Mytilus edulis: one gene and its partner. The protein of the gene in region 2 interacts with the protein of the main gene of each other region in a pairwise test. Links are inferred from orthologs where the notes say so. Each region holds a gene or a part of one and is shown on either strand. Other genes may lie near its edges.

Region 1 (15,658 bases), on a different chromosome or scaffold from region 2:
TGCTTATATATAAATATCACATGATAATCCTACAAAAATAAAGACATTCTTAATAAAGTATTCAATATATAGGTTGCACTCTGTTTCTCAAACCAAATGTAAATGTAACCAGTATAGAAAAACATGGTAGCGCCTAAATTTTAATTCTGAGGAGGTCCAAAAATGGAGGTAAAGGTAGCATAGAATTTTAGTATATATGTTAAAACTCTTAGAAGTTCAGGGCATATAAATGTTGAAAATATGCTACACAGCACTGTATTTTGACCTATGATTAAAACAGTAGTGCATATAAACTTTCCGTTCTGGGATTATTTTTCACAAATTTTCATGGTAAAAGTGACCCAGTTTTAGCCGCAAAGGTAGTTCCTATGGGAAATTGCATTGTCTATATTTACAGAATTGCAATCTATAAAGCTTATATTCAAAGGGAAGTAATAATGAAAAATAAGTGCAATTTTAAAACAGACATATGTTCTGGTTAGTGTTAAGTGATTCACTGTGAATAAGGTTATTGGTGGTTGACAATAAGATGGCTGTTTAATGTCCAGTGGCAGATTTAATGCATATTCAGGATGAAAACATGGTTATACACCTTTTTTGTGATATAAAAAATTAACCTTGTGCTGTACATATATATTAAAATCAACAATTTGAGCCTGATTTTAAACATGCTAGTGTACAATGTTACAGTTCGCAGGAAGATATGTCACTTTTATATACCTAGAAATATTATGACTTCGAGTTGACCAGTCATAGCTCTTTCTTCCTTTCTTATGCTATGGGCTTAGCAGAGAAGCAGCAAATTCCTTTAAACCTTTACAAAAAATCGGTATTAAGATAAAAAAAAATGTGAAACTTAAAGGTGATATAAAATTGAAATTAAATTAAAAAAAAGACAATTTTTAAATGTCGGTACTAAGTGATATCCAACTTACCCATATCACAAGAGTATCTTCTCTTTGACTTGACTTTTGCTGCCATAATGGTATCTGTAAAATAATAATAAAAATGTAGCATTAAAAAAAGTTAGCTACTAATATCTTATATATATAGCACTATATAATTATTACTAATAAATTTTCATTTGAATCTGTTCTTCACACATATTAGTATCTGAAGTGTTTACTGCTCTCTACAACATATGAACATTGGTTGTGCAAGGAATTTAATTTTCTGTGAAAAGTTAAACAGTATTAAAAGCAGATTTTTACTTTATTTAGTTTTCTTTATAGGTGCATGCAATTCAATTCTATCTATAAACATGATAAACTATAAACTGTATTTTGGGATCATCATGATCATTGACATATAAATTATTTATTTTCTTTAAACATTAAATCAATTTTAGTACCTACCACTTTGTCTTTGTTTGATATGAATACACAGTAACAGTTATCTAGTACAGCAGGATGGTGATTCTTCACATATTCACAAACCTTCCAAACATTTTCTTCACTAAAAAAAAGATTAATTGATTGAGTTAAGCCTTCCAATTGATATTTTATAAAGTATCTTTCTATGTTGTGATGTTATACTATTGTTTCAGAAAAGGAAGAAGGTTTGGTACCATTAAAATATATAATCTCGCTGCAATTATTTGCACCTGTCCTAAGTCAGGAATCTGATGTACAGTAGTTGTCATCTGTTGATGTAGTTCATACTTGTTTTTTTGTTTTTCATTTTTATATAGATAAGACCGTAGGTTTTCCCATCTGAATGGTTTAACACTAGTAATTTTTGGGGCCGTTTATAGCTTGCCAAGGCTCTGTGTGAAGGCCATACCTTGACCTTTAATGGTTTACTTTTATAAAGTGTTACTTGGATGGAGAGTTGTTTCATTGGCACTCATACCACATCTTCCTGTATCTATTGTATTGTCATGAATAATAAATTGTGTTAAAAATAAAATAACAGGTAATCACTGCATTGTACTACATGTACACGTACATGTACCAACTTTGAATAGATCTTACAAAATGTACCTGTAGTAATTTTTTGATATAAAAGTCCATAAAAGTGTAAATTTTTATTCATACTATTTATCCTTTTTCTTCAATCTATTTTTACTTTATACTGACCACCTTCAACACATTGCAGTTTATGTCACTTGTAGTGAGCACATGTATGTACTCATTTTTATCTATTTTTGTTTAATTTTTAGACCATAAAACTTATCTGCTAATTGTAAATTTACACTTGATAAATTTACTAACTATAAGAATAACATTATAAGTTGAGACAGCTGTTTAAAATGATGTGACAGAGTTGCTTATCACAATGCTAAGTTTTTCCACATTTTACTTGTACGTGGACAAAAGGATTGATAGCATATTTGTATTCTGTAGGATGGTATAAATTGGGTATGCGAGCGCATACATGTTGTGGACTGTTCAATTGGTTGTATTTTTCTGTTTTTTGGATGGCAGTTAACATATATTCTATTGTTGATCTGACTAAAGATTATATATCACGTATATACCTGTCACTTTACTGAGCATGCTGAGATAGAAATGTCATTAAGATTACTTGAAGAAAACTAAGCATGCTAAGTGTGCGGTTTGCCTGAGTCATTACATATGACTATGCCATAATACATGTAGGTCTTATTGAAATGTCACACACAGGTATTTATCCCTTTCAGCATGTTCAAGTATGTGAAAATGTAAAGAGTCATTGTGTTTAGGAATGGATCTTTATTTTGGCTGATGTACAGAACATACACCTTATTGCTATAAATCAGATTTTTTTCTATTGTGACGTCAAAATTTTACAGGAACCTTTGTCATGTTTGTGGTGTGTAGTAATGACACCATAAAGCTTCCTGTAAAAAATTTGACTTCACAATGGAAAAGAGATTGTTGAACAACGTCAAAAGTTTTAGCTGAGCAGATTCACAGGGGGTACCACGATTTCCCGAGAAATACAAGAAAAACGTAATATCCCCAAAACAAACTGAAAAATCCCGATTTTTTTGTGGTGTTATAGGTGTAATACTGCTTAAATAAGTGTTACAGCATACAATAATAAGGTTTAAGGCGTTCATAATTAATTAAAGTACACGCAATCTTCAGAAAATCGATTTTTATATCTTTTATCTTGTTACACTAATGACTGGATCGAATGACAGGACCAAATGAAAAATGCTAATAACTTTTTCATTTCTCAAAGGATTTATCTAAAATTTGAAATATAATAAGATTTTATCATTTTATATAATGATTTAAGAAGAAAAAATAGATTATATTTTTTTTACAAACTTAAGAAAACGTGACCTGACCAACACTGACATGTGAGAATGAAAACCGACATCAACAATGACAGGACCAGATAGAAATGCTAATAACTTTTTTTTTTTTTTTCAAAGGAATTATCTCAAATTTGAGATATAAAATAAGATTTCATCTGTCATTTATTACATAAATTTCATAAAAAAAATAAACTTTTTTTCAAAAACTTGCGAAAACGTGACATGACCATCGCTGACTGATAGGACCAACCTCAACAATGACAGGACCAAATGAAATTTCTAATTACTATTTTTATTTCATTAGAATTTTCCTCTCAAATTTGAAATATAATAAGATTAGACCAATTCGTACATAAATATCATGAATATAAGAACAATATAGGAAAAAGTATTAAAAGCTTGTGGTTATGTGACCTGACCAACATCAAATGAACATAGGCAATGACCTGGCCGATGAAAAGTCCTAATTTCTTTCTTATTCTACTTAAATTCTTAAAGTTTGATCCATAATTAATAAGATATTTCTAAAAAAAAATTAACTCATGAAAACCTATTTTTTGGTGGATAAAAAATTGACCTAGCTGACAAATGTACGTTGGCGGACAGAAAGTCAAAGTACAAAAAGACACAAAGGATCAGTATATACAATTGTTTGAAAATTAAAGAGAGAGATCTTAAAATATTTACTTGTTAATGCATATATTCATTTTACAGTTTAAGAAATATAATAGCTCATTAAGCTACATGTAGATAAATTAAGATTTATTGAATTATAATCATTATATTTCTTGACATCATTCAGTTGTTTAAGTCAGGGACTATCTATAGTCTATAGTATAGAAAGTCCCTGTTTAAGTATCAAGCCACTTTGATATTTTGTTTTATTTTATCTCTATGTCTGTGCCTTTCGATCTGTCCTACTGTGTCAGCTTATATTTTGTGAAAATATTTAAAACTATTTAAGAAATGTTTATTTGTTTTTATGAAAGAGCATTCCTCAAATATACATGAAAGTAAATATTTACTGCTCTGAAAATATCTAAAAAAAAAAAGAAACTATATGTGATTTTAAATACTGTCATCACAGACTATATTGGATTGATCAAGTTATTTATGGATTAATTCACATCTTTTGTTTGTTACCTTATAATTGTGATTTAACGTGTCAGATTATGACCGGTAATTGATAAACAACATAATCTACACCACAGCTAAATACAATACACAATATACTACATAATACAATAAAAAGTTCAAATAATGCAGTTTGAATATGCGTTTTTAGACTTAAGGCAGCAACCATTTGATTTTCTGGGGGGGGGGGGCTATGGTTTTTTTTGGAAAAAAAAGTTTGTTTCCAGTTTTTGGAGAAAAAAATAATTTGTTTTTGATTCTGAGAAAAAAAAATTGTTTGTTTCACCCTCAGCTGCCACTATATGTAATGCTAAAATTGAAAGAAAAAAAATTGCTTTCGACTTGTCGCGAAAAAAATAGATTGTTTTTCGCTGCAGGCGGAAAAAAAATTTGTCCAGAAAAAAAAACCATAGCCCCCCCCCCAGAAAATCAAATGGTTGCTGCCTAACTGGTTTGACCAACTTTTTGGGTCTTATTTGATAAAAACCTAACCATTCAATCTTAATGTTTTTTTTAATTTATTTCGGCAATTTGTGATAATACCAACATGACCAAGCTTTAGTTTAAAAGGAGATATTTGAGGAAAATTGTACAGATATAACAGCATTTAATCATATCATAAGAAAACAATATAATCCCTAAGATTTTGGAAACATGTTATTTTAGTAATAGTTAAAAACAATTTGGCGCCAATTTGGAAATTTTTCTTTTTTCTCATTCTTACTTGCCATTAGCATGATTAGGGTCAGTAATAGATTTCTTTCCACTTTTTAAGCATAGTTCTTCTCAAATGAAAATGATACCAAAAAATGTTAAATTGGCCTTCTTTTACAATTACGTAACGTCGTTGATCGCCGTTTATAAATAAAGCGAAATTGTCTGTTATTTTTGTCTTCTTTTTTCACAGATAAACAAAGATTTTTTATATATATATATACTATTATATAAAAAATTAATATATATTGTATCTCAAACATGTCAAAGTTAAAAACAAATAATTAAGTCTAACGTTCGATCACCCCTTAAATACCCGAATGAAGTTAACGTTATGATAACTGTAATAGCTTTTTTATATAAATTTTAATCAGTACTTTTGATACTTATCTATTCTTTCAGTACTTTTAAGTTGTCTACCTTTAGAATATCCGCAATATTGTTTTCAACGAGAAATTTGCATACAAGACATACAAATCAAATTTTTGAAATGAAATTGCACTTTTATTGAATAAAAACGAGTAATATTTTTAATTAATATTCTTTAATATTATTAATTCGTATATTTTAACAAATTTGATTCGTTTAGGGATAGTCACATGTTAAACTATATTTTCAAAGGTAGAGAGAAAACGGCGGATAGCAAAACGCATCTTGACCGGCAAAAAGCATATTATTCACCGGTGAATAACCTTTTGAGTTTGTTGATTTGTACTTGAGTTACCTCCCATGAAAATGACGTCACAGACGTAAATAAACAAAATGGCAGCGTTCACTTTACACTGGAAGCCCATGGAGAGACGAGGAAATAAAGCATTGGGCATGAATAGAGCTGAGAGTGCAAGCAGCCGATAATATCTCTTATAAACGGTCCTTGTCAGGACCATCAATATTTTACAAAAAGATTCTACTTTTGTTGTAAATTCGAGAAATTCGAACACAAATGTATTTTCAAACGTCAGTCTGTGTGTTATATGTTAGAAATATAGGCACTATAGTAAGTGTTTGATATGCCCTTCCACTGTTAGTTCGGTATAATAAAACAATTGTGGCCCCTTAAAATCGATGAATATCCAAAATTGTCAACCCTTAAAAGTTATTTCACTTCGGGCTGAGCCCTCATTGAAATAACCTTCTTGTGTTGACAATTTTGGATATTCACCTTTTCAACGGGCCATAATTGTATAATATATATGTTGTTGTTGTCAAGGAGACAATTTAATATCTATAAAGTTCCAACAAACCTAAATGACGATTTTGATACAAACATGGTCGGAAATTAATAATATAACAAATATAGCCTTTGTATGAGGTCAATACAGGATATATCGACCCAAAGAAGTATATCGACCTTGGACTTCGTCCTCAGTCAATATACTTCTTTCAGGTCAATATATCCTTGTATCGACCTCATACAAAGGCTATATTTGTATAATATTGTTAAAAGTAGTATAACACTATAAAAAGAAGCATAAGCAAAACACCATAAAAAATCTAATTCTTATTCTCAGGATATATCAGTTTATTTTGGGGATATCAATTATCACGTTATTCTTGTATTTCTCGGGAAATCGTGGACCAACGCCGATTTCTAAATAGCTATATTAAAGGTGAACTACATTGCTTTTGAGGACGAAAGGCCATTGTCCATGTATTTTTGTATAATGCACTGTGATATGCTGAATTATTTCTATCAAAAATTATGCAATTTGATAATGCAGAATCTTTTCCTTGCCACTATTTTGCAAAAAAGACATTGTAAGAAGGCAAACAGAAAGAAAACATTTTTTCCCTTTGAATAAAAAATAGTTGCAAAGTACCAATAACACTTTGTGTATACGCATTCTTCTTTCGATAATGGTAATTCTGGGTTTTTTTCTAATTCGTGTTTGTTGTCAGTCATACTTTCGATTTCTTTTTCTACTTTCACTTTCCAAAGAGAAAGCGTTTTAATGATCTAGAAAAGAAGCGTTAAATTGAAAATATTTGGTTTTACCAATATCCCCAAAAATACAGACTACAGGATAGAACAACAACGTAAAATTTTTGATGAGATCCGAATGACTTTTTTGCTATAGAATCTGCATTATATAAGGCAATCAATTTTGCTATTAATGTGTACTTTTTAATGATAAAACAATCATAAAACATAGTGTTATCAAACCTTGGAATTTCGTAATGATCACTATGCCGGGTCACCATCAATCTTCGTAAGGATGTACTTAGGTGAGGTTAGGTAAAATTAAGAAATTAAGAAATTAAAATTGATACTATAAGCTGGTAGAGCATCAATTAAGGATCAAGATAAGCTAAAAATATTGATAGGTCATGGACCTCCTTTTTGAGATATTTGAGATTTTAAATATGGCGGGAAAAGGCTGACTCGGACTCTTACCTTATATTTGCATTGGTTCATTTGGGTCTCAAAACAAAAGAAAGAAAAACAAGAATCTTCTAAGATTTTGGTACATGACCTTTTATGAGCTATTAAGTCTTATTAAGTCTTATATGAAAAAATAAATGGGTGTTATGGGGCAAAAATTTATTTCTATGGAACTTTATTCGAGGTGCAAGCAGCAAAAAAAACCTCACTTTTAAAACAGAAAAGCGTCCAGCTGCTTGAACGGCAATTTTCTGTATTTCTGTTTGACCTCTCAATCTTTAAAAGGGTTTGTCATAGATCAAAACACAATTAAATTATTAAGTTTACGTATAATTTCAGGTGCACAAAGGGACGCGTTTTAAATCGAGTTCTTACAGGTTGCATGTCTTATTAGCATCTTCCAATTACAAGTGCACATCCTAGACATATTTTTTTCAAATTATTATAACAAGTGAAACAAGTGGCCACAGAAGAAACAAAAGCAACGAAACTGATCTCAACAACATCGTATGACTTTGGAAAAATAAACTTATATATTCAGGTTAATATGATAAGTTTCAAACTGAAAATGAACAGCGTAAGACATTACAGATGTGTAACACAAGATTAAAAGATGCAGTACTCTGTAAAATGATTTTAGAAAAACGGAAATTCCACTTTATTTAACTGGTAACTAAATATATAACCATGCATACAGTAATAATTCTTAATAGAGCTATAAAACCATTGACAGGTTTATTCAGTGTTTAATTACTGTATTGTGTCAGATTCATGGACACTCCAGACACTTGCTAAGTTTATGTTAGACCTTTTGGGGTTAAAAGCATATAACACCATGATGGCTTTTAACCTGGGAAGGAGTAACATCCCTTGATAAGTATAATAAAGAGAGTATTTTTGGAAATTTACCATCCCAAGAACATTCTCGGTGGATTATTTATTTATTATATCGCATAAAAATTCACATGTTAAAGTAAAAGCTATATTGAAAAACGGATTTTGTTCATTCGGAAATATGTATTGTAAAATAACAAAACATTTGTGCGTTACAATTGTATGGCACCTAAATTGAACTAAAATCAATAATACGTCAAGATAAATGATAGCCACGACACGAGAAACTCAGACGAGAGAACAACTTTTAAACCTTGGCCTACAAAGATGTGGGATTTATAATTATTCAATCCTCATGCAGAACACATTGTGCTATTTCCTATAGTATTCAGTAACTGATGTAGTAAGATATTAACATGTGTTACGGAAACGACCACTTTTTTTTTTAACTTTAATAAAAAAAAAAAAGGGGGGGGGTCTTACTTCTAAAAGAATATTCTGATACCCAATTAAATTTAGAAAAAGATAATCTGATCAAGCAAATGCATGACAAATAAAATATTTTAACTTCAAATTTTCCTCTTACCTCATTGTGTTAAAAATTGAATAAAAAAATCTGGCTCAGATATCCCCCTGATTTATTTGCCACTGACAACCAACAATCAATCATTATATAGGTCGTTTTTACAAATAAACTTAAGTTCCAACTTCTGCAGGATAAGTAGCCCTTTTCGGTGTGAGGCAAAGCTCTGAGTTGTTCAGAGACCGTACTTTTACATATACTAGTTTATTGTTACAAATTTTGATTTAGATAGGCAGTTGTCTCATTAGCACTTATATTACATCTTCGTATATCTTAGATGAAATTTGATATTTTAACTTTCCTTTTAACCAATTTTGAAACACCTCTTCTTATATTTACTTGACTTTTAAATATTTGAAAATTGTCAGCTTTCTGTAGGTAAAATGCTTTACTTAAAATTTAGCTGGTTTTTGAGCAGCATTGGTGTACGGCCAAAATATTTAAACTATCAAATCTAAAATTAAACGATTATCATATTTTGAATTTTAAAATTTTAATTATTTGGTAAAAATTTCTAAATTTCTAAACTTTTATAAATTTGAAGTTTGAAATTCTGAAACTCTCAAAATTCCAAAAACTAAAGTTTGATAACTTTTAAAAAATTTGAATTGATAAATCTTACAAGTAGTACGATGACCAGAGTGAACATTTTAAAAATTTAATCGTCAAAAATGATATACGGCTGTTTCATATATCATTCGATTCGACAATATATGTACTTTAAAATTAGTTTGGTCGTCAAAACTAAATATGGTGCAGTTTTTCAGAAATCGAGATCAAAGGCACCATTTTTCATACATAATTGCAATGGATATTTATAGATAACAACTAAATTACCTTATCGCATATTTTTTTTAGCAAAATAGCATGGATTCTGTTTTTTCATTCAATTTTTCATCCAAAAAATTAAAAAAAACTCCTAAAATAAACTGTATCGATAAAGTGAAACATTTAAAAAAAAAAAAAAAGGGGGGGGGGGGGGGTGATTTTTAACTTCAAAAGAAGTATTTTTTCGAAACAATCATTATTACAAGCATCAAAACCATAATAATTGAATACAAAATACGAAAACACATGTCTGATTTAAGATAAATATCTTTTATTACCCAATATTAAGTTAAACAATTAAGTGTTGTACACTAAGGGTAGGGTTGGTACACGCCAAATTGACAATAAACTCTCTAAACACAGACTGATATGTGGGCTTAAAAACTTTGTGTATGTTATACCATGCATTACAAGGAACACAAGAAACTGCATTTAACTGTGTGAAAACTTTAGATTTGTAATAAAGGTCTCAGTGATACAATATCAGAAATGCATATTCAATTTGCAAATCGTACCAAAAGCCTTACTGGCAAATACAATTTAGTCTCAAACCTCTTCTGTAAGGGCATGTGTATGAACGTTCTTGCATGATTTTGATCCTTGGCAGGAACATAAGTCGATACATGCAAGGTTTTGGTCGACACAAACACACGACTTTTTACATTGTGATTTTCCCTTACACGAACACACGAGGTCATGAAGAAAATCTGCTGACATATTTCCTTCAAAGTAGACAGGATGCAATGAATCTTTGAATGATTTCCATCCGTACTCCAATGGTGAAGGCAGGAGTGGTTTTGCAAGACAGGAAGCATGCCAAATTTTGGTCTGAAATGATGCACGAAGGATATGCTGTCGAAGCTTTGCTTCAGAAGGTGGCAATCTGACCAGACTTGAATCCTTGCTTATAGCAAGCTTAACTCGCAGTTTGCTAATGTCCTGATGGCAGGGTGCATATTTCTTCTTTTGGTCGTAAAGTCTTGCCACAAACAAAGGAAGATGTAGTGTCACACCCAGAGAGAGCATGTACGGCAGGAAAAACTCTACAAATGATTTCAGGGAGAGAAGAACACAGTTGGTGAATTGGCAAAAACCTTCTATTATCTTTTATAGTACCAATATTTCCCATTTGGATCCAAAATTCACTCGTGTTGGTCATCTGCTTGAACAAATGAATATATAGAACAATGACATTTGTATCAGATGATTTGATAATGATCCTGCCTTTCTTTCCCATCTCTTTCAATCTTTTGTCTGCATATAACTTTTATAAATTGGAAGTTTGAAATTCTGAAACTCTGAAACTTTGATCAAAATTCCAAAAACTAAAATTTGATAACTTTTAAAAAATTTGAATTGATAAATCTTACATGTAAAGGACCTTTTAAGTACCATAATGACATATTAAAGGGTACCAAAAGCAGCATCAATAGTGGAGAGTCTGGATTGGGTTGACAGAATAAAGATTAACGGGCAAAAATAATAAAAGGGTGATAAATTATGAAAAAAAGATTTTTTTCCCGAAAATATGTAGAGTCTAGAGATGATGCGGGATATAGATAAGGAAGAGATATTGGGTCCGTCTACAAAAGTAAGAATGAAGAACAGAAAGACCCCTGCATTCAGACCTTTGTATGGAGTATCATAACATAGTCATTATTTTGAAGGATTACACTGAAAGTTTCAGTACACCATCCAAACTAGCAGGTCACGGTATCGGATCAACTTGGGAAATAAATGTAAAAACGGCTCGAAACCTTCCTGGAATCATATCCATAGATCAAGGAACGACCAACTAACTCTAAGGGGGAGCAGGGGTGTTATATTTTTACCCAAAAGATCATATTGTGATCCCCTATGCGATGCAAAATAAATTTTAAATCCACATTTTTTTCCCCCAAAAAAACTTAATTTGATTGATGGCGTTGAAAAAATAAATTTATTTTTTTTATGACTCAAACAAATAAAGAAACCCTCCCCCTAAAAGATAAATTGTTGCTCCCTAATTATGGAATAACACACTATATTGTTCAATGCACAAATGTAGGGTGATCGACTGAAGTAATCTGAGCAATTTTGCTCCTATTTAAATACCGTTATAGTGTGTGATAACATTGTGTGAGGGAATTCGCGACGTTTGATGTACCACTGTTCACTCCAGTGCAATTTATGACAATACCACTGCATCAATCAGAATTATTTTTTTTGCAGTGTTTTAAGAAATGATTTTGCTTTGTTGTCGCGTATTATTTGTGAAACATTCAATGTTTTAAAAAGGCGAATTTTCTTTATAAAGTCAATGATTATGTTGACTTTTGAAGGCCAAACTTTCTACAGCCTTAAATACGCTAATGAAAGATCAAAAAACTATACCAATACATAACGACATGATTATGAAATTATAACAAATCTATTGGTTAACAAACTTTTACTCGTTATTGCAAAATAATGAACTTAATATATCTGACATTTTCTCCCTACCCAGTTTACCCCTATACATTTTTATGATGTGGACTGGTCATTGTTATTGAATCGTAGGCAATTTGATTGGATTAAGTTGTTATTAGTTTACCTTCAAACTTGTTTATGCTTTTCATACATGACTATTGATTAATTAGAACGTGCATGAATGTGACCGGTAACTAAAATGACCTTCAAACTGGACACTGGACGAGTCAATATTATGTTTTATCAATGAAAGTTAAGGTATGAAAGGTAAGAATTGCCACTTATTCGATTTTCACAAAATTTTCGGAATATACAGTTGGAAAGGTTATTTTTTAAAAGCCTATTGTGAAGAGTAAAGAGAAAGTTTACAAATAATACGTTTTGTTCCATTAAACAAGTCATTTTCGTAAGAGAAATACCGAAATATATTTTACGCACGACTACGGCAGGTAAAATTATTATTTATCATAATAAAAAAAAAGCATTTTTCAGTCTCATTGGAATATGTTGATTACAATTAATCCCAAACTTAAGAAGTAAGTAACTAAAGTCAAAATATGTCCGATCTGCCTATTTCTGCACATCAAAAGTCAATACGATCGTTTTAAAGTCAATTTCGTCTACCTCACAAAATCTTGTTAGGCACTTTTTTTTTTTTTTTTTTTTTTTTATAGTAACTTAAAGATTAAAAATAATTAATAACATCCCGCGCTGTTTCCGTTACTTTGTGCATGTATAAAGATAAAAGATATGTAGTGATATAATACGCCATATATTGATGGTAAAGAGAAGATGTATAGAATTATTAAACAATGAAGGAACGATCATTTAACTTAAAGTGTGTGTGTGTGTGGGGGAGGGGGAAATATTCTAATCACAAAATTTGATTGCTAGCGTTAAAACTAAATAAAAGGGTTCGCGAAAAAAAACAATAGCCCTGCAAGTCAACCGAGGGGGGGCGTTAAGCAACCAACAATCAATCAATCAACCGAGGGAGATTTTAAAAGCAAGATTCCCTTGTAAAATCCATTTTAAAAATCCCAATACTAGTACTATCAGTTAAATAAAATGTCAGCTAGCCTTATGTTGACATTTCAACACTTCACTATTTACAAGGGAATTCATTTTATATACCAAACTAATATGCTAGATGCTATATATATTTGATATGTTGTAGAGTTATATGTATATAGAAGGAGATCGTAGTTACCACCCTTTATTTAATCCAGTTAGATATTTTTAAATAATACAAAATACGGGAAATAATATAGCTAAAAGAACAATCAATATAATAGAAAACGCAACACGTGAAATGAAGACGAAAATAAAATGAAATAAATTCTCCATTGCAATTTAATTGCAATATTTAAAATGTTAAAACACTGCTAAACTTGTTATTAATATTTATTTACAATAGAGTGTCTGTTTTAAAGTAATGATTGTGTGCTCTCACCCAATGAAGTATAACTGAAGGTAAGGTAATGATAAAAAAAAAAATAACTGAAGGTAAGGATACCAACCTTTCCCAGATAATGCTAGGCAGTGGAGTTGTCCCCAATGGACTGTGGTATCCACAGCTCCGAGGGAGTAGAACTTCTATACTGTCACATCCATTTGAATTGTCTATGCTTACACCCGAACGGGTCAAAAGCTCATATCTGGGATGGTGAGGTACACAAGGTAATTCACTGGGAAAGGGGATGTGGTGAATGAGAGTGGATATGAGAGTAGTGGTGGATGAATGACAGTTGATATGAGAGTAGTGGTGGGTGAATGAGAGAGGATGTGAGAGTAGTGGTGGGTGAATCACAGTGGATATAAAAGTAGAGTTGAGAGTAAGAGAGTGGGGAAGTATGAGAGTGAGTGAGAGGATGAGAGTGTGTGGGTGGTGGGTGAATGAGAGAGTGGTAGGTGAATGAGGGAGAGTATCAGAGTGGTTGTATGAGAAAATGAGAGTGCGTGGGTGAATGAAAGTATGTGAGTGGGTTAATGAGAGTTGGTGAATGAGAGTAAGGAAATGGGTGGGTGTTGAATGAGCGTAGGTGGTTGTTGAATGGGAGAGAGTGGTAGGTGAATGAGTGAGCGTGGTGGGTGAACGAGAAAGAATGGGTGGCGGGTGAATGAGTGAAATGGTGAATGATAGTTGGTGGTTGAATGAGAGTGGGTGTTGGTTGAATGAAGGAGAGTGGGTGGTTGATAAGAGAGACTATATTCAATTTGATAGTTAAAAGTTTAAGTATTTATATGAGTAACAGTAACAAAAGTTTTTGAATATAAATTTTAATTCCAGTAAGAATTTATTTAATCAGAGCCGGCAAAATAGCATTCAGTTTTCTAATAGCATGTTTTCTATTTTGCCGGCGCCGGCTAAATAGCAAATTTGCTATTTTGTCGGTGCCGGTCGGACCACTGAATAGCCAATGGCAATACATTAATACTTTTAAAACAATGATAATATTAATTTAGTAAATCTTACAATATAATTTCGTTCAAAACATAAAACATAGAGTCTAGAGATCAACAGGGTAAATAAACTATTTCGGTAATTTCCTTGCTCAGACGACCGGAGTTTATGAGACATTTTGCAATAGTTCCTTCTGATATTGTTATGCTAATATATATGAAATCGAGCACGCGAGTTAATCGATGATGATAGGCCTGAATTTTGATAAATTGCTAATTGTGTTAGAAAAGAAAAACAGAACCATGCTCTCTGTCCACAGGCACTAGTTTTCTATCCATGGCTATCCCTAATATATATAGGGATAGTAGATCTTGCCATGAATAGAAAACAAGTGCCTGTGTCTGTCCAGCAGTTGTGTGTTTTAATTCCTGATTGCAGAAAGTACCCAGCGTAACTATACACGCACCCTCATATGGCGCGGAATCAGGGTCATAAATATCGATTTTAGTATATATCCTACTATATATGATTTCAGTATATACTAAATTACATTTTAGCATACCCTCAATTGATTTTAGGGTATCCTAAAATGATTTTAGTATATGTTTAAATCATTTTAGGGTATCCTAGAGTCAATTCAGTATATACTAAAGTAATATACTAAAATCATTTTGGGATATCCTAAAATCAATTTGGGATATCCTAAAATCAATTTAGCATATACTGAAATATTCAGCATGTACAGAAATATTGGCGCGGAATCAAGGTCATAAATAACGATTTTAGTACACATGTACACTTAATTGATTTTAGTATATCCTTAATTCAATTTGCTGATAGTTTTGTTCACCAATGAAAAGATCGCTTTCTGGACGAGTTGGAAAGACAGTCACTGCGGACCTTGCTGAGATGTCGCTAAATGTTCTCTCACTTGATTTCAAACCTTTAAGGAGGCTCGGGGGTATAAAAAAAAATCAAACATTTGTTTTTCATTACAAATTTTATTTATTTCCTTTTGTAGTTGTTACTTTATCATATGGTACAAAAATCATTCGAAACAATCAATTCGTGTTGGCCCCAGAT
Region 2 (16,163 bases):
TGTTATCCATTCAGTACATGGTGTGGATCCAGAAGACACATTCCTAGTGTGACCTTTGACTGATGTTTTGTCATCATTGTCGTGAACAGGAGGTACTGCTGTGGGTTTCAATGGAGCTGTAAATACACAAACATTGACTAGTACATCTGTATACTACACAGTTGCAGATCCACGGGACCCTGCCCCCTCCCCCTCCATAAATCCGTCTCTGCTACATGTATGATCATATATGTAAAATAATTTCATATTAATTTCTGATCACATGATACAAATTTAATCATTTAAAAGAGATATAATTTTCAGAAATATGAATTTTAAATAGCTTTAAAAGTCTGTAGTCCCAACTAAAAGAAAGTAATATATACCATATGCAGAAATTTAACAGTAATTATAACATTTTACCTGATTAATTACTTATTGAATACATATTCCATACCCTGCTTTTGAAAGAGAGAAATTGAGACTTTCTGATTGATCATAAATTTTTCAGTGTTTGAAATTATCTCCAACAACATGTACAAGTTTGGTGGTGTAACATTTGAAATTTGCAAATTTCTTAGGAGTATGGAAACCCTTTCTCTCTACCTTTCCTGTAGTCTTTGTTAAAACGTATTTGAATTAAAATCAGCTTTTTTATCAACCTTCATTGCATAGACATTTTGTTTGAACCTGCCCTTTTCATAAAAGAGACAGGAATCAATTACATATTTCTTGGCATGACAAACTATATTTGAATAAGATGATACCTTAATTGTTAAATTACATATTGAATGTTAAATTTAAAAAAAAACTTACATCTAAATGGCTCTCCTTCAGATACATAATAGATATCATCATCCCTGAAATATATATAATTTATTTATATAATAATTTCATAACAGCATTTTAGTTTATATTGCATTTTTTTCACAAAATAGAATTAGAACATGTATATGTGCTTTTAGATGTTTATTTTTACCATTTTGAACTTTTCAATATTTAAATAATTGCTACAAAACATATATGTTTTTTAAGTTACATTTAGAAATTAAAGTTGTTCATGAAATGAGAATTTGCACCTTACATCAATTCGTATACATGTCTAATAAAAATCTTACAAAATTGAAGATTTAAATTAAACTGTTGAAGATATCATATAATCAAATTGCTTGAAAGCACTGAATGGTAAAGATTTCTTCAATTTATCACTGTGAAATCGAAGTTAAATTAAATATTGCATTGGTTTCTGTTGATTTAACAGCTATTCTAGACAAAGGAAGATACATGTAACTCCAATTTTTAAAGATGAGATTAACAATTCACATGTTTTTTTTTTAGAAGAGATATTAGATTCCTACACCTTGCAAAAGTTATGTAATTTTCTTGACAAGTGAAACATAATTTTCGTGCCTTGAATATCTGAGCATATACATTGTATTACATTGAAAAAATTCTGGAAATGTTCATGGATAGTATGTTTAGAATGTTATGATCAATGCACTATATTGTATGTATCAAAAAAGGTAGTGATAAGCCTTGGAACATTTAGATATCAAGTCAGTCCCATATGGTTTTGATTGCATTTCATGCAATCTTTACCTAAAAATTAAGCTACCTACATTTTACATTAAAAAAAATACATAGTTGAACTACACACAAAGGCAGTTGGATCCTACCACATATTTTCAAAATGATTTAGTCCATATTTGGTTGCTCCTATTTGGTCCTGTAGTTGAAAGGAGAAGATTTTAGAAAAGATATAAATGGTCGCAAAATGGTGATCAGAATACATATAGTTCAAAAAGTCATGGACCTGTCAGACAATAGAACTCAAAAGAGGATTTTAATAGACAATTTAATAAGGGACTTACAGATTACAATTTTTTGGAGTGGAGTATTTATCAATTTGTGGTTTTACATTTTTCGTATCATCTTTAATTGGACCAGTTGTTTTCTATAATATCTTGTTACCTAGAAGTAATTTTAGTGTTATTTATAACATTACCGGTACCTTATTAATGAAGCATCATCTAAAACAGCTCCTAAAGGATTGTACAAAACTTTTGCATTGATATCTAGCTTCTTAACAGCATCTGCAAGTACACTGTCCAACTTTCCAGCATCAGAAACAGAAACTATCTAAAAAAAGACCAAAATTGGGACATCTACATCTTCATTCCAATGATGTTACAATTCAATGATCTTCATACAAGTACAACATTAATAAACTGCCTAAATTTAGAATGTAAAACACAAAATATTACCATCATTTTGACCATTGTGCAACAACGTGTCTGAATATCTTTTTAAATAAATTTAGTACAAAGAACTTGCAAACAAGACCCACAATTTAAATTATAACATGTATGGGCTTTGTTCATTGTTGAAGGCTGTACAGTGACCTATAGTTGTTAATGTCTGTGTCATTTTAGTCTTTTGTGGATAGTTGTCTCATTGGCAATCATACCACATCTTCTTTTTTTATATAAGTGTTAAATCAGGTAAATTGTACTTTTATTGAGTGAAAACAACATGTATAGATCTCCAATTTATAGTCTTTAGCAGTAATATATTTCATGAATATTGAGAAGTTGAGTTTTCAGGTAATAATCTAACAGTTCATAACTTCTTTTTATTTTATTTGATTTTTTGGAAACTAGTGTATCCCTTTTGGTGGGCCTAGAAACCTATCAACAAGTTGAAGCAATTTTTGTTGAATATTCTAACAAGACTTTTACCAAGGATCAATTCTGGAAAAAAATGCATAACAAACATTTCAAAAATTTACTGACCACAATTCAAACATAGTTTTACTTTCAATATAAAAATAAAAAGATGTGGTATGATGGCCAATAAGACATATCAGATCAACTGAAATATTCTTGCTCCAAAACAAGCCATAAAATTTAAAACCTTTATATATATATTCATGAATTTCAAGAATTTATAAAATATAAATATCTGAACAAGTTTATTAACATGATTAATAAATAAAAGTAGGCAGAACTAATTCAGGGCTTATGGACTCGGGCCTAGGTATAACATGTAATCAGGGAAAACCTATCCTACAAATGTATACCCACAAATTTAGTGCTTTCAAAGATTTTATGCCAAAATTGGGTCTCAAACTTTCGACAAAAAATCTCTCTTAAAGTGTTTAGACAGATAAAAGGGCTCCAGACTTATAAAGTGATAGGAAGGGGTCATTGATTTTTTTTTTATCATAGACGTCTTATTTGGAAGTTAGATGAAGTCAAGGATCATTTTCTCAACTGTTTTTTGTTCGTTTTTGTTCTAATTGAGATTGTGACATGGTGATGACTGCTGTACCCATATTTTGACAATTTTAACTTATTGTCTGTTTTGTTCGCTCATCGTTGTAAATATAATTGCAATTTGATAAGACTGTTTTATCCAGCTATGTTGATAATAAGTCACCTAAGGACATTTTTTTCTTATTTTTTCTGTAGACTTAGCTTTAATTTTTTATTAACATGTATTGTCAAGCTTGGTAACTCATAATTGTTTCTCAGGAACTCAGTGTACGATGCTGTCCCATACTGAACCTACATGTATAGCTACTGACCTTGTTTTTTTACATTCAAATTCCAATGGCATCAAAATCATGTGATGTATTAAATTGTTCTACCCAATCAAATTGCTCTATTTGTCAAGTATTAGCCGCTGTACATTTACTAAGTAACTAACGTCACTAACGTTACCTATTGTTTACGTTGCCTATTGTTTACGTAACGTTGCCTTGAACATAACTTGAATACAATTTGATATGAACACAACGCCTTTCATTACTAACCCTAAAGCGAAGTACTAACCACAAGAAACACGATACACGATATTGGTGCCGTGACCCATGGAGAAATTAAAAGCAATTCGTGGTGGTCACCGTAGTGCAGTTACAAGATTAATTAATAGAACGAAGGAAAGAATTTCGCAAGAAGATATTGGACATGAAGAACTTTCGGCTGCCGCAGACAACCTTACAAAGAAGAGGAACCTGCTTGAATCTTTAGACTCACAGATCTTAGATGGAACTGAATTAGAAGACATGGAACAAGAAATTCTTGACGCGGACGATTATGCAATGAATATGGAAGTCGCCATTCGCCGATTCAAGGACATAGTTTCTTGAAACAAATTTTTTGAAAACAACCCCATTTCAGCAAACGGTGAGTGAAACAACTTATGTTCCAATAGCCAATACACTTGATTCATCAAATTTTCCGTCAACAAATATTGCTAATCATAATTCAAACCATTCAGAAAATGTATTTTCCGTAGATAACAACTCGGTTTATACGAATGCAAACCCAACAACAGCAACAAACTTCTATCACAAGCTACCGAAGCTTGATCTACCAAACTTTACGGGAGACATATTAACATGGCAGACATTTTGGGAATCGTTTGAGACAACCATTCATCACAATCCCTCTTTGACAAATATACAAAAGTTCAGCTATCTCAAATCTCAGGTACACAGTGAAGCCGCACAATGCATATCCGGTTTATCTCTATCAAACGCCAACTATGAACACGCAACTATATTGTTAAAGGAGAGGTATGGACAGACACAAACCATTATAAACGCATACATGCAGAATCTACTTGAACTTACGCATCCGTCACTTACGCCGCACAGCATAAGAGTATTTTACGATAAAATGGAATCGTGCATAAGGGGATTAGAGTCGCTCGGACAATCGCAAAACACATTCGGATCACTTTTAGTACCAATCATATTTGGAAAGTTGCCCGACGAAATGAAAAAACTCATGACCAGAGAACACGGAAAACGGAATTGGGATATAAGGTCCCTTAGAGAAGCAATCGGCAAAGAGATGTACGTACAATAAATTGGTAATTCAGATAAATTAGACAGTTTCACACCCACAGCGTCATTTCACACAACAGTTGAACCCAAAATCACTGCAAGACCTCAATATGTAATAAATCAGTTCAAACCCAAAACCTGTATTTATTGCAAACAATCGCATTCGTCAGTCGAATGTACCAGTGTTGTAGACAGAGAGAGCCGCTTAGCTATCATTGAACAGAAAAAAGTATGTTACAGTTGCTTTGGAAGTCATAAAGTTTCAGAATGCCGCTCGCGTTTTAGATGTAGAAAATGTGATAACAAGCACCACACTAGTCTTTGTGACAGTAATAAGAATCAAGAAAAGGAAAGCGTAAGTACAGCAAAATCTTTACCGCAAAATAACATAGTGAGTACAGTAGAGAGCGAAAATGATGCATTAACATGTTACACGTCAACATTGAACATTAAACCAAGGACAGACGTTTTATTAAAGACAGCCATTTCACCAGTTTGGGTAGATGACAGGTCAGCTACCGCTAATATTCTTTTAGATGAAGGATCTCAGAAGTCGTTTATTAGCATGGAATTAGCCGCTGAATTGCAATTAAAACCGAATGGAACCTCGACAGTTAGCCTAGCAGCATTTGGAAATGAAAACAGAAATATACGCAATTTGGACATTGCCGTAATAGATTTACAAACTCAGAATGGGAAGAAAATACCAATGGAAGTATTTATTGTCCCTAATATCGCAGCCCCGTTACACAATCGCATGCCATACAATGCTGCTAAACTGCCTTACCGCAGTGGACTTACATTAGCGCACCCTGTTAGCGACATGGATAAATTCAGGATTTCATTTTTAATAGGTTCGGATTACTACTGGGATATCGTAGAAGACACAGTTATCCGAGGACCAGGCCCGACCGTAGTAGAATCAAAACTCGGATACCTACTTTCTGGACCAATGAAAGACTCAGCTGGACCCATATCCTCATCTTTCATGTTACAACACAAGACAGAAGAAGTCTATTTGAAACGTTTTGGGAAAATCGAATCAATGGGAGAAGTATCTGACAATTCAATGAAATTTAACAAAGACTATTTTGAGACGTATCATTCAAAAAGCAACACAATGAAGAACAATGGTAGGATTCACACATTTAGCAGGGAACCAGGAATGATGAAAATCCACGGAGACAGAGCACCGAGTAAAACTGAAGCCAAGCTAAAGATTCAAACATGGACTTAATACTTTCATGACAATATACTTACTGGTATCAAGTGCGCCGAAATTTTGTTAATGATCATAGTGAATAGACAGTTTAAGTTAAAATTAACAATTTCTATTTATTTACATGGACTTTAAATAGTTAATTATCATTTCACACTTTGTATGTTAATTTCTTTTTCATAATTTTAGATTAATTTTCACTTTTCGGCGCCCCCAGTAACAAGTATTAGCCGCTGTACATTTACTAAGTAATTAACGTCACTAACGTTACCTATTGTTTACGTTGCCTATTGTTTACGTAACGTTGCCTTGAACATAACTTGAATACAATTTGATATGAACACAACGCCTTTCATTACTAACCCTAAAGCGAAGTACTAACCACAAGAAACACGATACACGATACTATTGTCAATTAGGTGATTTTTAAGTCTACAGCAATTATATTTTTTGTTTGTGGGATATTGCTTTAAAATAGTTTGCAATAATTTGGGGTTTTATTCAACAGGAAACCTCATTTTTTGCCATCCCTTAGAACAATCAATGAAATTTTGTATGAATATTTACCTACAGTCATGATGGTCAGAATATCGATCTTTTAATAATTTATTTTTTTTCTATGAAAATAAATGTAAATTGTGAATTATTAACCTACTCTATCATGTCTATATTCCTGCACAAAAAAATGGCATGGACATTGTTTTTTTCAAATAGTTTTCCTTTCATTTTGGATGGTCTTTTTTCACGGGAAAATCATGAAAGAGGTAAGGAGCTTGTCATTTTGAACTTCATAAAAATACGATTTGCTTGACCTGTATTGCCTGCCAAAAGATTGATGACGCTGAATGGAATGTATACAAAGCAATGGAGGCCAGAAGTGGGATTTTGAAAAGTTCTTGAATGTTTTCAGACATTCGGAAGTCGGGATTGAAACGGCCGTTAGAAAATTGGCATGTTTGAGCAATAATTGAGAATAACCATGAAAACTTACCTTTGGACATGTTTTTTTATTCTACATTATTAAAAGAGTAGAAAAAACGTATCCTGCACTAATTTTCTATGCTGGAAGTAGTGTAGTTTCCCCGTGTCTTAAATTCAAACACAAATATCGAACAAATAAACAAGATGACCAATTTTAGACTACGGTAGGATACAAGTGAGCAGGTGAGAGGTTTCAATCCACCATTTTCTACATTTGAAAATGCCTGTACCAAGTCAGGAATATGAACTTTTATCATTTGGTTTTGACATTTGATTAAGGACTTTCCGTTTTGGATTTTCCTCGGAGTTCAGTATAATTTTTTTGTGATTTTACTTTTTTAACAGCAAAAAATTAAAAACAGGCGTTTGTCGGCTATTTTAAGCTTCGAATAAAAGTATACCTTTCCATCTGTAGAACTTCCGTTGCGAAATATAAGAAATCTTTTCATTTCACCGTTTCAGAAGTGGATATTCATTTTATAAAACCAAACACTTTCGACTGTCAACTTTATTTATAGATTCAATCGCATGTGTAATTGAAAAATACTATCGACTGGGATCCTGATTCGTAAAAACATAAGCATACCCAAGCCCAAACAGATAAAAAGATAAGAAACCAGTTCACAAATGTTCACAAATGTATGTCGCTTAAATCATGTAAAAAATCAAATTATTTCTTGTTGCCCCGATCTCAAAAGTATATATAATGAGTAAACACCTGATTATTGAGATTGAAATAACAGTTATTATACGAGACCTTTTTTTTTAATCGTAATAGTGCGAATTCATAAGAACATTTAAAACTGGTTATGATATACAGTACTGGAATTTGATGCGTCTGTCATACAAGTGAGAGGTTTAGCTAGCTATAAAATCAGCCATTTTCTACATAAAGAAAAGCCTGTACCAAGTCATGAATATGACTAACATTATCCATTCGTTTGAGCCATTGATTTTGCCATTGGATTAGGGACTTTCCGTTTTGAATTTTCCTCGGAGATCAGTATTTTTTGTCAAGAACACACGGAGTCGAAATTAGAAAGCCAAGGATCAGACGAAATTTATATCATTGTCAGTTTCTTGGTAAAACTGTTTACTGATGTATACTCCACATGTTTTTACTATTGAATAATGATTTTAAAAAACCTTACAGATTTATAATTTACATAAAGTTTTGCCGCAGTGTAGGTATTTGTATACCATTAAAACAGAAAGCGCTGATACTAATAGATTATCGTTGGTTATCTCAACGAGATTGATTTTCACGCTTGAGCCGGTCACGGCGAAATCGAGAAAAGCAATCGAGTTGAGGTAGCAAAACACAGTTAGGAGTTTAGTTTCGCATTTTAGCCATGGTGGATTTTTCAAATAAAGTTATTGTGTAATAAAATTCATTTTTAGACATTTTCTAATGGGTTTATCAAATTTGCATACTTCATAAACATCCGTTAGATTGACCATTACCATTAATTAACAAAACAAAAATCTACCTGACAAACCTCAACCATCTACACCGAATCACGAAAACAATTGCATGACCTTATGCATTGTAACGCTTCTTTTATGATGTTTTCCGTTGAAATTTCACCCAGTGCCTATCACTTAATTGGCACTCAACGGTAGTTTACAAAAACAAAAACAAAAAAACACAAAAAAACACAAAAAAACGTGACGCTCTAAGGGTTAAACTTATGGACCAAATGACAGAATAAAGTCGATAAAATGGAATTGCCGTTATAATTCCTTACAAGTGTTTATAAACCTTACGTAACGAAAAGACAAAATCCGGCATACACAAAACACTACATAAGAAAAAAAATAAAGACCAAGTAACTCAAACTCCATTAAATAATATGATTTTCTGCCATGATGAGCAGATACAGACTTTTATCTATACAGATTAATAGAATGTCACCTGACGCATTTTGATTTATTTGAAAATTTACATGTTAAAAGTTGAATTTGGATAATAAATTATATATTAATAATTTAATTTTGGATGTAAGCTTTGCGTCTTCTGATTGGCTGACGTTGTTTTGTTTATCAGCTCATAGACATGATTTTGTCATGTACCGTACAAATGGAACACATATACATTGACAGTGTGACGTCATTAACGTTTTTTCATGGTTTACGCTGGATTAGAATTGAATTTTAGAATTAAATTATAAGAAATGACTGTAATATTCGTTCTGTCTATTTGAAATAACATAAAAAAAAATGTGTTGCACACTTTAAAACAACCCGCGTAGCACCAGTGTGCACCACATTTTTATGTTATTTCTTCATAGACAGAAAACATATTACAGTCATTCCTTAATTACCGTCAGTGTTTATTTCATTTTCATTTTACCACTTTTAAGTTTTAACTTTATTACATTTGGCATCCATCACCAATTGGTTATTATGCTAATATAGCTGTGATACGCATCCATGAATCCCCAGCAGCATTGTACCGGCTAAACTTGCAATGAAAATTTGGATAAACTTAAAAAGGAAATTTAAAAAATGTCAAAATCGATAACAAAAAGTAAAATCATAAAAATCGAACTGAATACTGAGGAAAATTTAAAACGGAAAGTTCCTAATCAAATGGCAAAATCAAAATCTAAAACACATCAAACGAATGGATAACAACTGTCATACTCCTGACTAGGTACAGGGATTTTCTTATGTAGAAAACCTGATTTTATAGCTAGATAAACCTCTCACTTGTATGACAGTCGCATCAAATTCCATTATATTGACAACGATGTCGATGTGTGAACAAAACAAACAGACATAATATTTATAGGTAAAAACGTCAAAAATATGGATGCACTCAACATTGTTTTATAATCTTAATCACTTTAAAAACAAACAAATATGTAAGAAAGAAGCACAAACAGGCACAAAGCACATTAGCAAAAAAGAAAGACAAGAATACAAAAAATTAAAATAGCACAATTACACAATGACGGGATGTACAAGTAAAAAGCCAAGTATAAAAAAAACAAAAAAACAAAAAACACAAAAGTCATATAGACAGAGCACATTAGCAAAAATGAAAGACAAGAATACAAAAATTATCATATAATAATAATACATTGACGGGATATATAAGTACACAGTCACGTCGAATGACTACCACCAAAACAGACTAAACAGTAAAAGTAAGTCTAGAATACAATTTAGATTATAATAAGAGAAGTGCGACTTCAATCATATAGTCCCGAAGACACCAAAAGGATTGATGCCCGCGACACTTGGGTCTTGCCAAAAATCACCTTACTTCCAATGAGCACGGACAAATTTAATTTCGAAAATATATGTATTCAAAAGACCAGAACAAGATAAAGTTCTTGATATTTTTCATTTAATTGTTTTCCCCATAAAAAGAGGAAACAAATGTTTAAGTTTTACAAATATGTATTTCTTACTTACAAAACTAGTATATTTACGATTGGCGAATTTATTTTTCTTATTAATTTTTCATACGTCGTTGAAATTATGATTTTTTTTATTCATAAAGGACAAGGTACGATAAGGCCCAATTTTGCCCCCCCCCCCCTATTTTCTCATTTTGTACATTTCGTTTTGAAAATCTACTTATCACGTTTAAATATTCCCTTAGAATTGAAGTTTGTTTGAATGAACTTCAAAACCATTAATTTCAGAAATGGGGAAGGTTAGGGGGTAAAAGGACATCAAAAACGTTAAAAGAAGGGAAAATAACGAGTTTTGGCCATTGCTTCTTAAAATCGAATAGCGTGCGTCTACGTGACCCGGAAAAAATTATGGCGATTTAGACAGCAAAAACAGTTCTCATGACATTGTAATGAAAAAAATCTGGGTCACGTTGGTGCAGGCACTCAAAAATAAAAAAATGTTATAAAATCACCTACAGAAAGGATAATAATTACAATATTTAAATAATAACAGAAAGTCAACCCCCTCACCTCACCCAGTTGCGAAGATTAGTGGTTTTGAAGTTCATCCAAACAAACATCAAACATCAGGGATGGTTTTAACATAAAAAGTAGCTTTCCAAAACAGAATTCGAAAAATGAGAAAACAGGGGGGCAAAAACAGGCTTATCGTACCTTGTCCTTTGCTGATTATTCGTTTCTAATTTGATATAGAGGCATCGGAGACGGGTAAGAAATCAATTTCTCCAGGTCCATCTCAACACGATTTCAAAAGTGAGTGGTCATTTTTGTTTTGATAACGACCACATCACCATATGATTGTGTCATTTTTTTTAATTATTTTTTTTATTTCGACAATTGTCATGATAGAGGGATTACCCATGTTCTAGACTATGAGTATATTTTATATAGTTTTTGTTTGCTTGTCACTTTAAGCAGCAAACTATAAATTGTAAGATATACTGTTTCCAGCTTCAAGACACTGATACAGTTAAAAATAATAAAGGAATGCTAAGGTGAACGCAAATTACCTACTTTATTGTAGAGTAAGTTTAAAAACCGGTATGGATATTTTTGTGTGTTAAATCTTTTTATTTATGCAATCGTATTACGTCTTACGATGTCGTACAAGTCTGCTACTAAAACAAATAAGAAAAGAAAAGGACTGGTAGCAAGCAACCAATCCTTATATGTTATACTTTTTAAACGTCAGTTCTCTTTAATGACGAATTTATTGGATGGATTACACAAAACCCATTAAAAATGTTATTGTTGTGCAATTCATCTTCGCTGTCCCGACTTCCTGATAAGAAAATCAGTGTGAACATAAAATTAGAAAAAAAAGTGTTTCGCTTCGCTCCACTTGATGGTGGTTTTACAATTTCCTAAAATAACGCACAGTTGTTTGTTGTTGTTTTTGGGCAAATGATTGTAATGAAATTTATTTCATGGTTATCACTTAAAACTAAACAGTACACGAAACAATATAAACAAATAAAGACAGAGCAAAGCATCAAGGCAATATTTAACTGCAGAACATGGTGATGTATTTCGTGCTAGTAATTAAAATATCGTTGAATGCTGTATTCCAAAGCAAAATTGTAACTGTTTGAAGATGGCTAAAAGGATGGGTTTTTTGAAGATGGCTAAAAGGATTGGTTTTGAATGGGTTTTATAGATTTGTATGTGTATTTCTCTGTACTGAATGTTCTTGCCTTCATTTGTACTGTTGTAGTCCTGTCATGTAATATTGTCATTTAAGTGTTATATTTAACATTGCCACAAATGCGCGAGGTTTTGGTTAGTTGATGTGCTTCCCTCGGTTTTAGTCTGTAACCCGGATTTGTTTTCTCTTAATCGATTTATGAATTTCGAACAGCGGTATACTACTGTTGCCTTTATTTGGCAATATCCGAGTACAAAAACCTTTTAATAAACAACCAAACATCTTTCAAAAGAAAGCTATATACTAATTTTCTGATACAAACTTATGCATTTGTGTTCTAGACACTCTTTGTTGCGAAATTAAAAAAAATTTCTACATTTTCATTTAAAAAGGTACAATTTGATGTAAACACACAAAGTATGGGAGACGGCTTGAATTAAGTAAACTCAATTAATTGTCTTTTGCTTTTCATATAACTATTATCTTTGAGACCCAACTGGTGTTTATCTTGTATTTTGGTTATTATTCCATGTTAAAGTTAGAATAAATTCAAAATTGTGAATACAAATTGTTACATCATCGTAGGCCTTCAAGCTTCTGTAATAGATTGTATGAGCTTTTGACTTTTTAAATTATTTGTAATTTATAAGAAACTTTATCACATCAGCCATCAGACTCCCTGGAGTGGTACAGTAACTATAAAAGTATATGTTACACTAGAATCTATTCAAAATAGACATTCAACTGAAACAATTTTGAGAATGTGAGTATTTTCTGTATATTGTATCTGCTGCATACATTTTATGTTATTTACGAAATAGAACAAACGATTAAGGACGCATTTAACATGTTAAAAACAACTGAACATATACCTTGTACTTGTGTCTCAGTTTCTGAACATATCAGACAATTATTGTCTTCTGAGTTTTATTTTACTAGAGCAATATTTCCTATAGTATTTCTTCCGAGTCAAAAAACGGGTTTCAGTGTGAAGCAGAAAATGATCCCTGGTTCTCTTTCATTTTTATTTATTCATAAAAAGAGCAATCATCTACACAGACACGTAAGGGTGAGTACAATCACTATTGTAGTGTCAGTTGTCAATCAACCATTCCATTTGTTTTCAGATCTAAACTGAATTAGGAATAACAGATATGAGGATCCTTTTGGTTTGCTTCTTGTTCGATAAGTTTAATGAAAATACGGCATAAACGTAAATTAAACAGCTTATTGATAGAAGAGGTCAAATGTTGTGAGTATTTCGATCTATGGAATATAACTAATGTTGTCAACACAATTACCTCAAGTACTGATTGAAACTATTAAAATGGTTATAACCAAATTTTGATAAGATCATGTATGCTCTTCAACTTGGTAAAGTATTTGGTCTTTTTAGCTGTCTGATTCGAGCGATACTGATGTGTATCGATTATATAATCAAAAACGTTAACTCTTCTTTAGCTTTACTAAAAAGAATAAAGAAATATTTAAATTACAAAGCTAGACAAATGTACTATAACGCTTACGTTTTACCTCACTTAGATTATTGTTGTTCAATATGGGGAAACTGTAATAACTTTCTATTAGATAATTTACTAAAACTACAAAAAAGGGCAGCAAAAATAATTTTAGACGCACATGATTACACCAAACCTTCAAGAGAATTATTTCACGAATGTAACATGGTCACAAATCATTACTCATGTATAAGACAAAACATGGCTTAGCTCCAGAATATATGTCCAGTCTTATTGTATCAGCTTCTTCAAACTAAAAATATAATACGAGATTTTCATCCTCAGATAATTTTATAATTCCAAAACCAAATACAGAGTTGTATAAGTCTAGCTTCTCGTACACTGGACCAAAAGTGTGGAATGCTCTTCCTAATGCAATCAAAAAATCAAATACAGTATCAGAATTTACACACAAATACACATCTATGTACTTTTAACATTACCATCATATTTGTACTGTAATACCATATCAGAATTGTTTATTGCATTTTAAATTGTATTTAATCTTTATTTATCATTATTATTGATGCATTGCATATTTTTAATGTAATTTTTATTGTATTAAGAGAGCCTTATTGAAAATTGGTGTAATCCAAATGAGTTACTCTCTCTAAATAAATATATTATTATTATTACAAGTGTGGACACAGATGAGTGTGGATAGTATGTATGGATGTTTGACAGTGTCTTCTGACAAAAGGAGTTCTATGTTTTTCCTATATGGTGTTATTTATTAAATTTTTTATGCCCCCACCTACAATAGTAGATAGGCATTATGTTTTCTGGTCTGTGGGTCCGTTCGTTCGTTTGTCCCGCTTTAGGTGAAAGTTTTTGGTCAAGGTAGTTTTTGATGAAGCTGAAGTCCAATCAACTCGAAACTTAGTACATATGTTCATTATGATATGATCTTTCTAATTTTAAAGCCAAATTAGACTTTTGACCCCAATTTCACGGTCCATTGAACATAGAAAATGGAAGTGGGAGTTTCAGGTTAAAGTTTTTGGTCAAAGTAGTTTTTGATGAAGCTGAATTCCAATCAACTTGAAACTTACTACACTTGTTGCATATGATATGATCTTTCTAATTTCAAAACTCATAACTGCTCCAAAAGTAATCTGATAGAATTTCAAGCATTTTAAGCCAATATTATCAACATCTACTAATGAGTCTTAATATGTCTACATATCTAAAAAGTCATAGTATTCAAAAGGTAATGCAAAATTATTCCTTTTCATTTTTTTTTGTTATATGGATACACATTTGAGTGATACAATATTTGTTGTGGTATGAAAGTGCAGTAATTAGCATTTACTGTAACTATGTTAATTCACACAAATTGAAAAATAAACAAATGAATGGACCAGATGCTCCGCAGAGCCCAGCTTTATACGACTGCAGAGGTCAAAGCCTGAACAGTTGGGGCTAGTATTGACACAACATTCAAGCTGGAAACAGCTCTGAGTTTGAATTGTGATTAAATAGATGACACAGCTTAGGTTTCTGACACAGAATGAATGTGGTCTAATGAACTTAAATATTTGTTTTGCTTTTGTGTTAGGAGCAATTCACTATGCTGCTGAATATTAATCCTTTCAAACAAAAATATCTAAAGAAATTTTCTTTTTAATTTCTGAAATGAGAAACATTTAGAGGAGACAAACTTCAGTTAAGAGATCAGAAACTAAAAAAATGTATAATTTTTCCATTTGTAAAAGGGCATACCCTAGAAAGTGCTTGCAATCACTGAATGGTTATTAATGACTGCTTTAATTTATCAGTTGGTAATAAAGTGAATATTGCATTGTATATTGTATAATTGATTTAAGTTGACTGAACAAAGAAAGATAACTCCAATTTTCAAAGAAGATTTCATAAAGCATTGGTATTAGGTAATTCAAGAACCATTCTGGACAAACTCCAATTAAGGGTCTTGAATTTACAAAAATGTTTGTTTTTGGTCCGTAATTATTAGACTGTTTGTCCATAACCCACACAATATATCCGAACCTTCTACTTATGGTATTAAACATTGTGGTACAATTTCAGAACAATTGAAATACTTATACACAACTTTTTAAACCGACACTAGATTAAAGCTTGTTTTGGGCACCTTTATACCCCTTATTCCTAAACCTTAGGGACCATAACCCCCAAAATCAATCCCAAGCTTCCTTTTGTGGTTATAAACGTTGTGTTATAATTTTGTTGATTTCTGTTGACTTATAATAAAGTTATTATCCAGAAACCATCTTTCGGACAGGATACCAATTTACGACCCCAAATTTTTTGTGGTTGTATAAAAATGTTGAACATGTGCAATGAAGTATAGTTTTAGAAATCGATTAGGGAGCTACCATTTGATTTTTATGGGGGGGGGGGGGGGGGGGGGGCTAGGATGAAAAATTTTGTCCTGCCTTTTTTTTTAGTTGTAATCTCTGTCCTGCCTTTTTATTTTTCAGTCTATTCGGTCCTGCCTCTTTTTTTCTTAGCTTATCCTGACTTTTTTACAACAATTGTCATCCTGCCTTTTTTTTTTGCCAAG

What was found.
Region 1: the proteins of BTB/POZ domain-containing protein KCTD9-like (region 2) and protein N-terminal glutamine amidohydrolase-like interact in binary tests that used the Homo sapiens proteins (3 or more experiments, as listed by UniProt). The link is inferred for Mytilus edulis from reciprocal best matches to the Homo sapiens genes KCTD9 and NTAQ1.

Annotation. Positions count from the first base shown.
Region 1 is NC_092349.1:65,633,458-65,649,115, forward strand, and holds the start of protein N-terminal glutamine amidohydrolase-like, read right to left. Parts: upstream 7,037-15,658; 5' UTR 6,999-7,036; coding exon 6,916-6,998; intron 1,456-6,915; coding exon 1,356-1,455; intron 990-1,355; coding exon 936-989; intron 1-935. UniProt on the Homo sapiens protein: Mediates the side-chain deamidation of N-terminal glutamine residues to glutamate, an important step in N-end rule pathway of protein degradation.
Region 2 is NC_092347.1:21,891,966-21,908,128, reverse strand, and holds the start of BTB/POZ domain-containing protein KCTD9-like, read right to left. Parts: upstream 7,593-16,163; 5' UTR 7,481-7,592; coding exon 7,433-7,480; intron 2,119-7,432; coding exon 1,991-2,118; intron 840-1,990; coding exon 796-839; intron 117-795; coding exon 1-116. UniProt on the Homo sapiens protein: Substrate-specific adapter of a BCR (BTB-CUL3-RBX1) E3 ubiquitin-protein ligase complex, which mediates the ubiquitination of target proteins, leading to their degradation by the proteasome.